3 linked regions of the Nothobranchius furzeri genome follow. The protein of the gene in region 1 purifies or fractionates together with the protein of each later gene. This does not show direct contact. Links are inferred from orthologs where the notes say so. Each region holds a gene or a part of one and is shown in the gene's direction. Other genes may lie near its edges.

Evidence for each region.
Region 2: the proteins of ppp2r2aa (region 1) and serine/threonine-protein phosphatase 2A catalytic subunit beta isoform purify together in Homo sapiens (affinity purification with mass spectrometry; 8 studies listed by BioGRID and IntAct, counting the BioPlex papers as one, with this or other methods). This does not show direct contact. The link is inferred for Nothobranchius furzeri from reciprocal best matches to the Homo sapiens genes PPP2R2A and PPP2CB.
Region 3: the proteins of ppp2r2aa (region 1) and cdca4 purify together in Homo sapiens (affinity purification with mass spectrometry; 4 studies listed by BioGRID and IntAct, with this or other methods). This does not show direct contact. The link is inferred for Nothobranchius furzeri from reciprocal best matches to the Homo sapiens genes PPP2R2A and CDCA4.

The regions. Positions count from the first base shown.
Region 1 is NC_091757.1:37,248,574-37,252,223, reverse strand, and holds part of ppp2r2aa (serine/threonine-protein phosphatase 2A 55 kDa regulatory subunit B alpha isoform), read left to right. Parts: intron 1-3,333; coding exon 3,334-3,613; 3' UTR 3,614-3,650. UniProt on the Homo sapiens protein: Substrate-recognition subunit of protein phosphatase 2A (PP2A) that plays a key role in cell cycle by controlling mitosis entry and exit. Involved in chromosome clustering during late mitosis by mediating dephosphorylation of MKI67.
Region 2 is NC_091750.1:36,847,447-36,851,850, forward strand, and holds the start of serine/threonine-protein phosphatase 2A catalytic subunit beta isoform, read left to right. Parts: upstream 1-1,594; 5' UTR 1,595-1,884; coding exon 1,885-1,986; intron 1,987-3,090; coding exon 3,091-3,129; intron 3,130-4,404.
Region 3 is NC_091758.1:17,654,995-17,659,421, reverse strand, and holds the start of cdca4 (cell division cycle-associated protein 4), read left to right. Parts: upstream 1-1,583; 5' UTR 1,584-1,764; intron 1,765-4,427. UniProt on the Homo sapiens protein: May participate in the regulation of cell proliferation through the E2F/RB pathway. May be involved in molecular regulation of hematopoietic stem cells and progenitor cell lineage commitment and differentiation.

The DNA.
Region 1 (3,650 bases):
GCGAGCAAAGAGCTCGTCGCCGTCTTCGACAGCTGCGTAAGCTGAATCGAGATGTTCAAGGTACGTTTCCGGGTCGGATTTTGGACTAAGAGCTTTAACGATGCTCGCTGCTGGGGCTGACAGACTCTCCACGATTCTTCGTACAATTTGGGACTTGGTGAGTGAAGGATCATTTATGCATAACACTACACTACTACGCCAAGTATCATAGTCAGTTTCAAAAGAAGGGTGTGGAACTCGCCCTGAGAACGGTTTTAGTCTGTATTGTGAAGTAGGCGGAGGGATAACCTCACTGCTTTTAACAATGTGTTCCACAATAACTCGCTGAACCTCAGGTGTGTTTAAAAGATTTGGTGGAATGCAAGGGTTTTGTTTTCCAGTCTCTGTAGGTGGACAATTGTCCTTTGAGTTGTTCATATAGTTAACTTCTGGTGTTAAAGGCAGGGAATATGTAACTTGGTCACTATGGAGCATTAGCTCTGGTTCAGTGACTGGTTCAGATGCATGGGTATCCCTTCCTAAAGATTCCCCAATTTTTGCCAGTTCCTCCATTAGAAGGTCTTTAAATGATTGATTGCTACGCGCAGCTATGTCCCTGAGCTCTGACAGATAGGCATCAGTGGCAGATGTGCTAGTTTCTAGACTGTACGCGCTGGCTAGGTCTTGAATATGGAAGAAAACATCTGGGTTCCTAGTACAAGGTTTGTCATAGGGTAAACATTGTTTCTTTAATTCCTTAACAGTGGCTTCATGTTGAAACTCCACAATAATCTGATCACAGTTTGGTAACTTAATGCGCCTGTTAACTGGTCCGAATCCTTCCATAAACCCAAAGACTTCGTTATCAAGGTCTGTATCAGTTAACCCACTGATTAAAACAGCATTTGAAACTTTGACCTTTTCTGTTTTCACAACTTCCATTTTAAAACACTCAAAAGTACCAATAATGCCAAAATGGCAAACCACTGTGACCTCCAGGCACTCTTATGATGTCAGTCAATGGTTAGCTAAGGTAACAACTCTACAATTCTCCTGGCTGGCTCGCCAAGTTTTATGTAACCGGATTACAGGATACAATAAGATAATTAAAAGAAAAAATAAACAAATGGGCCAATAATTAGGTTCGGGGAGAATTGGAGGTTGTTTAAGAATGACTGGAGTCACGGGTATAGCATGAAACGGTTTATATACTAAATTTTAATAATAATGGGAAATATAACGCATAAAGATAACACACAAAAACAGATGAAAACAATCGACAACAGTAAAATGCTCGGTATGAGATTTGATCATATGAGTCACAAGTCAGCCGGCGTCAAGTCAAATCCCCACGCTTGGGGTGAAAGTCAGAGTCCGGTGGTGCGATTTTTTCCTACCGCACCGTTGAGATTGTTCACAGAAGAGAGCAGTCTGCTCTTCAGTTACTTGAGATGTCCTGGTTCGTTCAGTGGTTAAGGCTCGCCATCTCCCTCGTCAGGAAGAAATCCAGTTCTCGTTCCAAGTGAGTGATCATAGGAGTCGGGATCAAACCCAAGGAAAAAAAAAACCCAGCCTGTAAACAACAGGACTGTTAGCAAGTTGGCATCGACCCTTCTCGTCACATCACAGCATAAAGTCTTACAGACTTAAACAAATGCTTCACTCTATTGGCATAGCCAATCATGTTTGGGTTCACAGTTCAACTAACATAACATCAATTTGATTGTCTATTAAAATAATTCTCAGTAGCTCTGGAAATATAATTACATATGACAACAATTGTTCAGCTCAATAGGCTCAGTTAGATTCTATTACTCTACACTATTCGACAAGAAATGCATTCATGACAACAAGGATACATTTAGTTGTGTTTCTATACAGCATTGTGACACCTTGTATATCTGTAACACAATAAATAAATAAATAAATAAACAAACAAACAAATAAATAAATAAATAAAATTTTCTATAACAAAATTAAACAAAATATAAATTCTGGTCCTTTGGTCCACCTTTGTAAAATAATTCCTCCCTAATCAGTTAGCTTTTATTTATTTTTATTTATCTATTTTTTTTATTATTAAATGTTTGGTTAAGGGACGCATTGCTAATTCTATGGCGTTAGCTATAACGCCCCTGAGGACCCTGTACATCTAGGCCGTACCACCATTAACTGGCGGTTTGAGCCGTTAACTCCTGGGAATCCCATATGCCCTACCGCCGTTAACTGGCGGTTTGAGCCGTTAACTCCTATATGCCCTACCACCGTTAACTGGTAGTTTGAGATGTTAACTCCTGGGATCTAACGTCTAGCAGCCCACTGCTGTCACCTCGGTTGCTGTAATTAGCTTTTTGAATTTAATAATTTACTGAATTTAATCTCATTCACTCACCAACGCGCTCCAACGGTTCCCTCCTACAGAGGATTGGTTCACTCTGTCGTCTCCACACAAATCTATAAGAATGGAATTAATTTGATAAGCTATTTAAGTTTCCTTTTTTTTTTAAGTTGCATCGTTAGCTTTTTCTCTTCTTTTTTCTTTACTCACCGCGTTGGTTCCAAGTTCCTAGCTCTTATTAGAAGGAGTCAAGTCCGCCTCTCCCTCTATCTATGCGGCACCCAAATCAGGGTTCTTCACGGCCTCGACCGTTGTTTTTTTTTCTCTCTCTCTCTCTCTCTAACCGCTCAGTCTTTGCTTTCTGTATCTGCGTGCTGCACAGCCGTTTGTCTCTCCTCTCGCTCAGCTGCGTCGCACGGTTTTATTTCGCGGAGGCGGGACTTATTTCTCTCAGCCAATGAAATTTCAGATTCCCACCTGGACCAATAGTATACAGCTTTCCTCTTCTGTTTCTGTTAGTGATGTTCAAGATTCTTGTTTTAACCGATGTTTAATATTAAACTCGTTATTTTAGTTATTCACCCTTCCAATAATTCATTATGAAATTATCTATTAGTTAATTAGATATCTATTAATTAGTATTGTTAATTTCCTTAATTTATATTTTATATTTTATCTAAATTGAGGATGGATCATATTAGTAAGCCAATTAGTTAATACCTCATTAAGGTTCTAGCTTCTGGGTTACATCTGCATTTGTCCTGTCAACAGAATTTATCTTCTACGCTGCTGTAGTAATGTTGATGTAATCTGCTATATTAGAAAGTCAACAACAGGGTGAAAACCACCCTTGACTCAGCAACCCTGTCTTTGTCTCCTGCTGGTGTCGGAGCAGATCACTAGACTGCATGTCATTTTGTTTAACTGTAACAAAAACAAGCTTTTAGACATTTTTCCAGATTAGGTTCAAAACAAATACTGAAACTAACGCTCAGAGACTTGTATCTTTTCCTCAGCGTTGTGATGACGGGCTCCTACAACAACTTCTTCAGAATGTTCGACAGAGGCTACAGGCAGGACATGACCTTCGAGGCCTCGCGGGAAAACAGCAAGCCACAGTCGGTCCTGAAGCCTCGCAAAGTAAGCACAGGTGGGAAACGCAAAAAGGACGAGATCAGTGTAGACAGTTTGGACTTTAACAAGAAGATCCTTCACACTGCTTGGCATCCTCTGGACAACATCATTGCTGTGGCCACCATCAACAATCTTTACATCTTTGAGAATAAGATGAACTAGTTGTTATATTCTCGGATCACAGTTTCCTCTTGAGCCC
Region 2 (4,404 bases), on another chromosome or scaffold:
ACTGATGGAAATCTGAAGAGTAGTTTAATCAAACAATGTAGGAAACCGGACTGAAATTCAGAAAACACAATCTGTATAACTGCAACATTTCCTCTCACAGTCACCCTGTTTGCCGGGTATAGTTTGATTAATGAATTTCAGTCACAGACAGTGGACACAAAAACATGTTTTTATTGTGGTTTAAAATATATGGAATTATTTTATGTTATTTTGTGGCAAAAAAAAGTTGCAGTTTCTCATTCTGTCTGCAGCCTGTGTGTTCCCATAATGTGTTGCCCATGCATACATGGATTGCCTCCCACTGACCAAAAACTCAAGACTCAAGACAACTTTATTAGTCCCCGAGGGGCAATTTGAGACAATTCATGTAAACCTTTGGCTCACACACACACACACATACACACACACACATGCACACACAAATACACATGCATACATGTAACTATATGCACGCACACATACAAGTTATGCACACTCCTATCGGCACTAAGAATTAAGAAGAAGCACAGCTCTGGGAACAAAGGAACTCCTCCTCTGTGTTTTACAGCATGGACATCGAAGTTGGCGTTTGGAGGGCAGCCACTCGAAAACAGTATGAAGAGGGTGTAATGGGTCTTTAATTATTTTCTATGCTAACTTCCTGTATGCTGGTCACATTGAGAAGTTAAGTTTTGCAGTGGTAGTCCAATGATCTGAGAGCACACCTTGACGGTGCTTTGTAGACGGTTTCTATACTGCAGGCTGACAGAATAAAACCAACAGGGGATGGAAAATGTGATAACACTCTCTATAAAAGAATAATAGAAAGTCAGTAAAATGTCCTTCCTGTCTCCAAATGAATTCAACTTCCTCAGGAGGTAGAGTCGTTGCTGGCATTTTCTGAGGATGTCCTCAGTGTTGGAAGCGAATTTCAGGAGGTGATCAAAGGTGGTCCCTAGATATGTATACTCTTCAACCAGCTCCACTGGCTGTCCATGAATGATAGTGGAGGCAGCGGTAACCAGCGCTCTCTGTTTGTTTGAGAAGGACACCATCTCCTTAGTTTTGGTCACATTCAGCTCCAGGCCTGCTGTGTCACACCAATCCACAAACTCCTGCAGGACCTGCCCGTGCTAAACAGTAGGGCCTGACAGAAGCGACAGGAGCACAGTGTCATCAGCGTATTTTACCATATAACTGTCAGGCTGGATGGATCTACAGTCATCTGTATGGAGAATGAAGAGTAGAGGAGACAACACACAGCCTTGTGGGGTGCCAGTGGAGGTGTAAAGAAGGTCTGTTAACTGGAGACAATAAACTGTCCCTAGATGTAATTGAATGTGTGACTGGTTGTTTGCCTTTATGTGTCCCTGTGATGGACTGGAGGCATGTCCAGATGTCCTCTGTCTGTCCCCTGGTGACTGAAGTGGGTAAAGATGAGTGAGTGAGTGAGTGAGTGAGTGAGTGAGTGAGTGAGTTACAAATAAACCACATAATGTGTACCTAGAGCAGCAAGCCCTGGTCTAGGATCAGCATCCCGGAAAAGACGATGAACTTGTTGTAGTTCGTTACTTCCCCGCGTGGTGTCGCTGGTGTTCCGAGTCTGCGCGCTGCTGAAGTGCCCGGATGTTGTTGCAGCTAGCTCTTTTAGCCTCTGCGACGCCGCTTCGATCTGCCGCAGCGGAGACTTTCGAAGATTTCGACTCCACTGGCTCATTTAAACTGGTTTTAATGTCGGTAACTTAACATTGGTGGTTTATCATGAGAGAAGTTGTCTGAAAGGGTCGTTATTTTTAGGACTAATCGAATATTTTTCAACCGGACTGGATCGGGTTAACAATACGACAAGCTAAAGGCTGAATCAGTTCGCGTAGGGACCGGACGCCGTTTTTTATTACAGCTGAAATGGAAGATAAATCTTTTACTAAAGAATTAGACCAATGGATCGAACAGCTCAACGAGTGCAAGCAGCTAACGGAAAACCAAGTGAGGACCCTCTGTGAGAAGGTAAGCGCTCATTTGATTCCGCTGACCTCAATTTATAAGCGGCCTGGTTCTCAGCGGCCCCGACTAATTTCTGGAAAGGAAGTAACGTGTATTTTGGTTTTTATCTCCCTATTGACCCGTCAGCCGCAGGTCATCCCTGTTTATTAGTACTAGAAATGAGAAATTATTCGTATTGTTTTTGGTGTTTGAAGATCAGAGGCTAGTTTTATCAGTGATGACGGTTAACCAACAGTCGTAGTTTGAGCACCAACAGGCCGAAAATCGCACCTTAAATGTCTAGTAAATAGATGCAGCCCTCGTTACCATCCACCCGTTTTTTTATTTGACGTGGTTTCCCTCGGTTTGTTCCATGCGAAATATTATGTTAAAATCAGTATTAAGTCAGCGTCTTTAGAATTGGTTTGTTTGCGTACGTGCGGGGTTTCGCACCGCACCCTGTCTGTATTGATTTATCGTTTATTGCATAAACCCATCCTACCTCCCAGTTATTAGACGCGTCCGCATTTTTGCTGTCGCATAATAAATTAGTTCTTATGACTTTTTGCATCGTGTTATTTTTTTAAACATACATTATTATAATTGAGTGACTTTAGCGGTTTTTCAGCTGAAATCAGGAACCAGCTGAGGATTCAACAGGCCAGATAAACGTGGAAACTTATGGAGCTGCAAAAGATGATTTTTATTTATTACTAAAGTAAATAAACAGCTTTTGTGTATATTTATGTCGTTTTGCTGAGCAACACTTTGAACTAAAGAGTTAAACTATCAATCGATTTTGATGCCTTTAATTATGTTTCCTTTTCATAATTAAAGCTTTTTTTCCTGTATTATTTTGTTATTATTGTGAGCTTACCAAATATAAAGAATCAAAAACTGAACCACTGCAGAGAGGCTCTTTATTCTGATGTTTTTGCACATAAACAACAACAAAAAACCAGGTTTCACCATACATCCTGTTTGTTATTCTACAGGAACTGGGGTCTTGCCTGGCTTCCAGCATGTTTTCACCCATGATGCAATAATTCTGTCCTTTTTAAACTTTTGGTTATGTAAATAAAAACACACAAATGTGACCAGTTTAATAAATTTTTGTGTTCTTTTCAGGCAAAGGAGATTCTGACTAAGGAGTCCAACGTTCAAGAGGTGAGTTTGGCCCAAAAAAATCCTAATAAGTCGCCTTCTTCAATACTGCATACATCCGAGTTAATTTGCAGTTTTTGTTCCTGTTGGGGGGGGGTTATCTATGAGGAAATGGAAATCCATTTGAAGAGATTATTCCGTTTGTTTCTAAAACGGTCAGGGTCAGTTTGTGTTATTTTATCATCTTGTGTGTTCCAGTCACACCAGAGTCTCTGGGTTGTATGTTCAAACTTTTAGTAGAACAAACCAGAGGGGCTGGCTTCCCAAACTCAGTTCCTCTTTAGTACCGACCAAATATTTAGTAGGAACTGGTACGGAATAAATATGTATTTTTTGTTGTGAAACTTCAGTATTGTCTTGATAAATTGGCCCTAATAATGAGCCGAACAGCTCCGCACGCCGTGTGACTAAAGGAAGCTGCTCTCTCACACACCATTTATGGCAGGAGTTAATGTAACATTTCAGATAAGATTTGTGTTGCTAAATATGACAAAACAGCAATTTAATAAAGCGCAGCGTCGTTCCTGGTGTTGGTCTGTGAGCCGAAACATGAACCGATTTCATCTGCTGCTGCCAAAAAAAAACAACCAGACTCAAGTCCACAACCCTCCTGCGCTGCAACAGCAACACGGCGGCGTCACCAGGATTGTTTTTTGTTCTGCCTCTTTAAATTTGTATGTTCTAGGGCTGCACGATATTAGGAAAACCTGTGATATGCAATAACGGTGATTAATATTGCAATGACGGTATTACTTGCGATAAATATAAACTTAATTCAGGAACAAAAATAATCAAAAGCAAATAAATAAAAAAGTGACAAAAATATCATAGAAATGAAAAAAGCTAACTTAAAAAAGTTTACTTTTGATTTGGACTAAAAGGTAAAAACTAACTTTTTTTTATTCATTAACTGCCAACCATTTCCTGATCAGAAAAGCCCTTCACTTCCAGCATTTTTACTCCTTTTTTTTATAGAGTGACAGAATGTTGCACGCTAGGATGATGTCGACACCAAAACAACCAAAACAAAGCGGAGACTCACCTCTTACATCAGGAAGAATCCGCGTGTTTCGAGCGTTATCCGTTCTTTAATAATACGTTGTTGAATTGTGATCGTCAGAAGCTTTTCCGGTTCACGCCTCACTTTTTTTACAGCAGCGGCCCAAAACGATCTCCTAACACGTGGATGTTCTGCTTCCTGATCACGTGACGTATGCGGATGAAGATCGGCTTTAGAGCTGAGATGTTTGTTCTCACGGTGCGGGGGCTCGTCCGACG
Region 3 (4,427 bases), on another chromosome or scaffold:
GAATAAGAAATAAGAATAGAACCACCTCTCACATTCAAGAGAGAGCTGCTGGAGGAGCAGCTGCTGTACACCAAGCTCTCCTAGAAACTTGAGCTTCTAAACCTATAGCAGCCTGAGTGTAGAAGAGGGGGAGTGGCCAGCTCTAGCTTATTTTCATAAAGGGGCAGAGCCCTGAACAGTGTTGCCAACTAAATGAATCTATTGCTATATTTAGCAAGTTTTTAGACGTTTTTTAAAACGCAACTAGGGACAAATTTTGCAACTTTTGATGACTGACATTAAGCACACTACTTCTTCTCCTACTCTTCTCACCGAGCAGCGGTGCTGCTGTGAGCTCCTCTACCATACAAAAGCAATTACAGCAGACAATGAATCCTCTTGCTGCAGCATCACCCAGGCCGAGCTGCAGTCAGAGAAGACTGCTTATTTGGCAAGAAACAAAGTCAGCAGGAGTTTGCTTAGAATCCAAGAAGTGAAGAAAAGATGAGACAAAAAACATGCTGTTTAATCAAATGGGGAGTGTGTGAGAATGGGAGAAGAAGGCCTGAGCTGTGTTCTATGTTACTTTTTTGGATAATCACCACACCAAATCTGCCTTAATATATGTTTTACATATTAATGCAAACTAAGTGCTTTGAACACACCTGTCATGTATCCCGTTTAAGCCAGGAAACTCTAGTATTTTACCTGAGAACTTAGAATATTGAGCAAAAGTTCTTTCTATTCTAGGTTCAAAATGTCAGCTAATTTTTTCAGGTGTTTTGGTGATCCAAAACACCTGAAAGCTTTTAAATCGACTCTCAGTGTGTGTGTGTGTGTGTGTGTGTGCTTCTTATTTCAAACAATTGTAATGTCAACAAGACGAATGAAGGAAATCCAGAAACATGATCAAAACATGTAATCTAAAATGACTATTTGATTTTAATACATATGCACCTTTCACATGCCTATGTGCATAGCTATAAATGCATATGTATACCTACACACATCTTGTTTTGTTTTATTTTATTGATTTATATCTATTTGTATGTGGTTGACTGTTTTATTTGTTTTAGCAACATCAACCTGCCAGAGGACTGCAGATGGAAATTAGCCTAAGGCTATAGTCTGGCATATTTACAGTCATTTGACTGTTAGTATGCAATGTCCTCTTATAAATAAAGAATAAAAAAAACATCTATGTGCCTCATGGTGAAAATGTGCTGTCATAATGGTTTTATTAACATATTTAGAGACATTATTAATTAACAGATGAAATAGTCTATATCTATCTATCTATCTATCTATCTATCTATCTATCTATCTATCTATCTATCTATCTATCTATCTATCTATCTATCTATCTATCTATCTATCTATCTATCTATCTATCTATCTATCTATCTATCGGTAGTTATTAATGAGGTATAACAGGATCATAATTCACAATCAGAACGTCGAAACCCAGTCAAATCTTAAGTCTTGTATTTGTTTTCCGTCAGCCCCAAAACGAGCTTTAGCGTGTTTGTCCGAAAGCATTAGTGTTTGAGAAAAGCAGGGAGAAATCATTAGAGAGGAATCCTCAACTGGCTTTTGTCGGCTGGCTCCCCTCCCCCTCACTCCCTTCCTTCCCTCCTGCCGTCCGCCTCGCAGCAGCAGTAGAAGGAGTGAGGTACTTCAGTTTTTGAAGCCGTGGCATGAATGATCTCATCTGAACCAAATCTCCGCTTTCTCTGCCGTCAATCTTATGACGGGAAGAGGGGAATAAACTAAGGCAAACACAAGGTGAGTGCTGCTAGCTAGCTACTGGGCAGTGGTGTTTTAGGCAGGCGCCGCGGAGAGCGTTTGTGAATTTTCCGACTCTTAACAGCCCGGGCGCAGCGAAAACTCTTGTTTTTGGCCAGAAAGGAGGAAGGACCGTGGAGGATGGGTGGGTTTGCGATCACCACTTTTATGCTTGTTGTTACAGTTTTGGCGAGGAAGACGTTTTTAAAGTGGTCGAGACGTATATCAGTAATTTTATACCCCAGTGGGGTAATCCTTTTCCGTTTCCTTTAACATTTTAGGACAGTTAGCCAGCCGCAGTCTGTTAGCCTACCCGTTGCATAGCTAACCGGCTAGCTGCTCACGGCGCAAAATGGCCTCATTGTCACTTGGTAGACTACCGTACCGAACAAAGCATGCGGCAGTGACGGCCAACAGAGTCCCACTCACGGCACTCTAATTTGATTGTCTGTGATTCAAATGGTACACTGTAGACGGGGAACTATGTGATAAAGTAAACAGACTGTCCTAAAGTTCATTTATCGGTTTAGCACAGCGAGCTAAGCAAGTGCTAGCCTGAGTTAGCGGTGGGGGATGGGTACCAGCAGAACACATTGACGTAAAGCGAGGCAGCTGTAGCTCCAGTGCTGAGGTCCTCCAGCTTTCTAATCACTTAACCCTCTAACAACGCCATGGTTCCCTCTCCACAGCGACTTTAAACAGGCTCTTATTTTTACACTAATGTCCTGATCCCAAATCTTTGAAAAGTGTCCTCTTCTCCAGGTTTTAAACTAGTTGTAAATATATTTTGTTGTACATTTTACAATAGCGTTGAATGGTTTTGTTACCAAAATAAAACCCAATCAGGTTATTTCCATGCCATGTATTTTTACGACTGACTTGGGTTCGGGTTGCAGAGGTAAACAGTGGCTGTGTTAAAATCACAAACCAGAAGTGAAACTAAAGATCCACAAACTTCCAGCCTTTATTTATCCATATTTACTACAGTGCACTGTGTTTACCTTGAACTAGTTTGGGTGTTTAGACCCCGAAACTGTTGGAAGGATAGCAGTTGCTAACACTACTCAAATACCCTAAAATGGGGCTAAAATGATTAATCAGATAATTAAATAAACAGGAATGGCAAAGTTAATATATCTGAGTGTTGATGTCAGACCATGTGACTGCAGGTTGCTCAGTGATCACATGATTCTGTTCAGGTATTACAGGTTTATGATGCAAAACATCAAAAACTTTATACAAACAGCTGATTAAAACAAATTGTTACAGAAACAATTATTCTTTACATTGAGACCAACAGGTATAACTCGTCAGCCCCAACCATCAGGCCACCCCATACACTGATGTGTCACAAATGTCCTAGGGTCTTGTTCCTGGACAGGTCCGTTAGGTTTGGTTACTGTCTGATCCCTTTTTTATATCTAAATAAATATTCTGAGTAGCATTCATTAAATAGGCTGAATTAAAAACTTTATATTTATTGGCATCATAATAAATAGATGGTTAATATTTCTCTGCTATAGGTACCTACAGGTAATGCAGTGTATGTATTAAAAGCAGAGGGGACGCACAGTGACCAAAGGAAAATTATAGTAATGTTATTTTTTTATTGATACAATTAAATTAATTAACAATAGTTTTTTATGAGCGGACTTCCTAACAGAAACAGTCATTAATAATTAACATCACTTAATTTAACTGTAATCAAATTAGAAATCTAAATGTCAACAAAGAGCAGTGATATACCCTTATGTGGTAAACTATCGAGACATTTACTCAAACCCTTAAACACACAGTAGTAATGGCATTAGTAGTTTTACAACCTGCCCAGTTTTTTTCAAAGTGCAGAAAGCAATTACTGCAGTGATGCTGCTGTCATTTATCTAACCTTAAATCTCACACACACACACACACACACACACACACACACACACACACACACACACACACACACACACACACACACACACACACACACACACACACACACACACACACACACACACACAAGTGCATCTTCTCTGTGTAGCTGTACTCGTGTTTTTTCTTTTTAAATTGTGAAATTATTCAACCTTTAAAAGTTAGAGGTTTGTTCACAAAGTGAAGTCTAAACCGTTAACAGATGTTTTTGGAGCTGGCTCCTCCATCACATCGTCATGGTGGGTTTTTCCTGCTTCAGATAATTATTTACAGCTCAAACAAACTTAAAAATATAGACGTCTGGACAAACGACAGTAAAGTAAGAACAACTGTGAATCAAGAGTCAACACCTGGGGTGGGGGGGTGGGGGGTGTATTTTATTAAGTCATGTCCCATTTGTTTAAATGGAGGGAAACGTATGCTTCAGCCAGCCACTGGGGGGCGCATTAGTTCCTTGTGCCTTAAATTTCTCCCTCACATTTTTAGATCTAGCCCTTCTCTATCTACAGTGAGTCACAACTGAAGCCTGCTGTCAGGAGTTGGTCTCTGTCATGTGTGGTTGTTCCACCCAGCTGGAGTCGTGTCTCAGACTGGCCTAAAATGGGCAGAAACGGTGCAGAAGAACGTGAAGCCTAGCAGCTGGTACCTAGCTGCCACTGCCTGTTCCTCTGAGTAGGAAAGGTGCTCCTGATAAAAACTACAACACTCATTTAAACTTTGGAAAACATATAAATAGATACTTA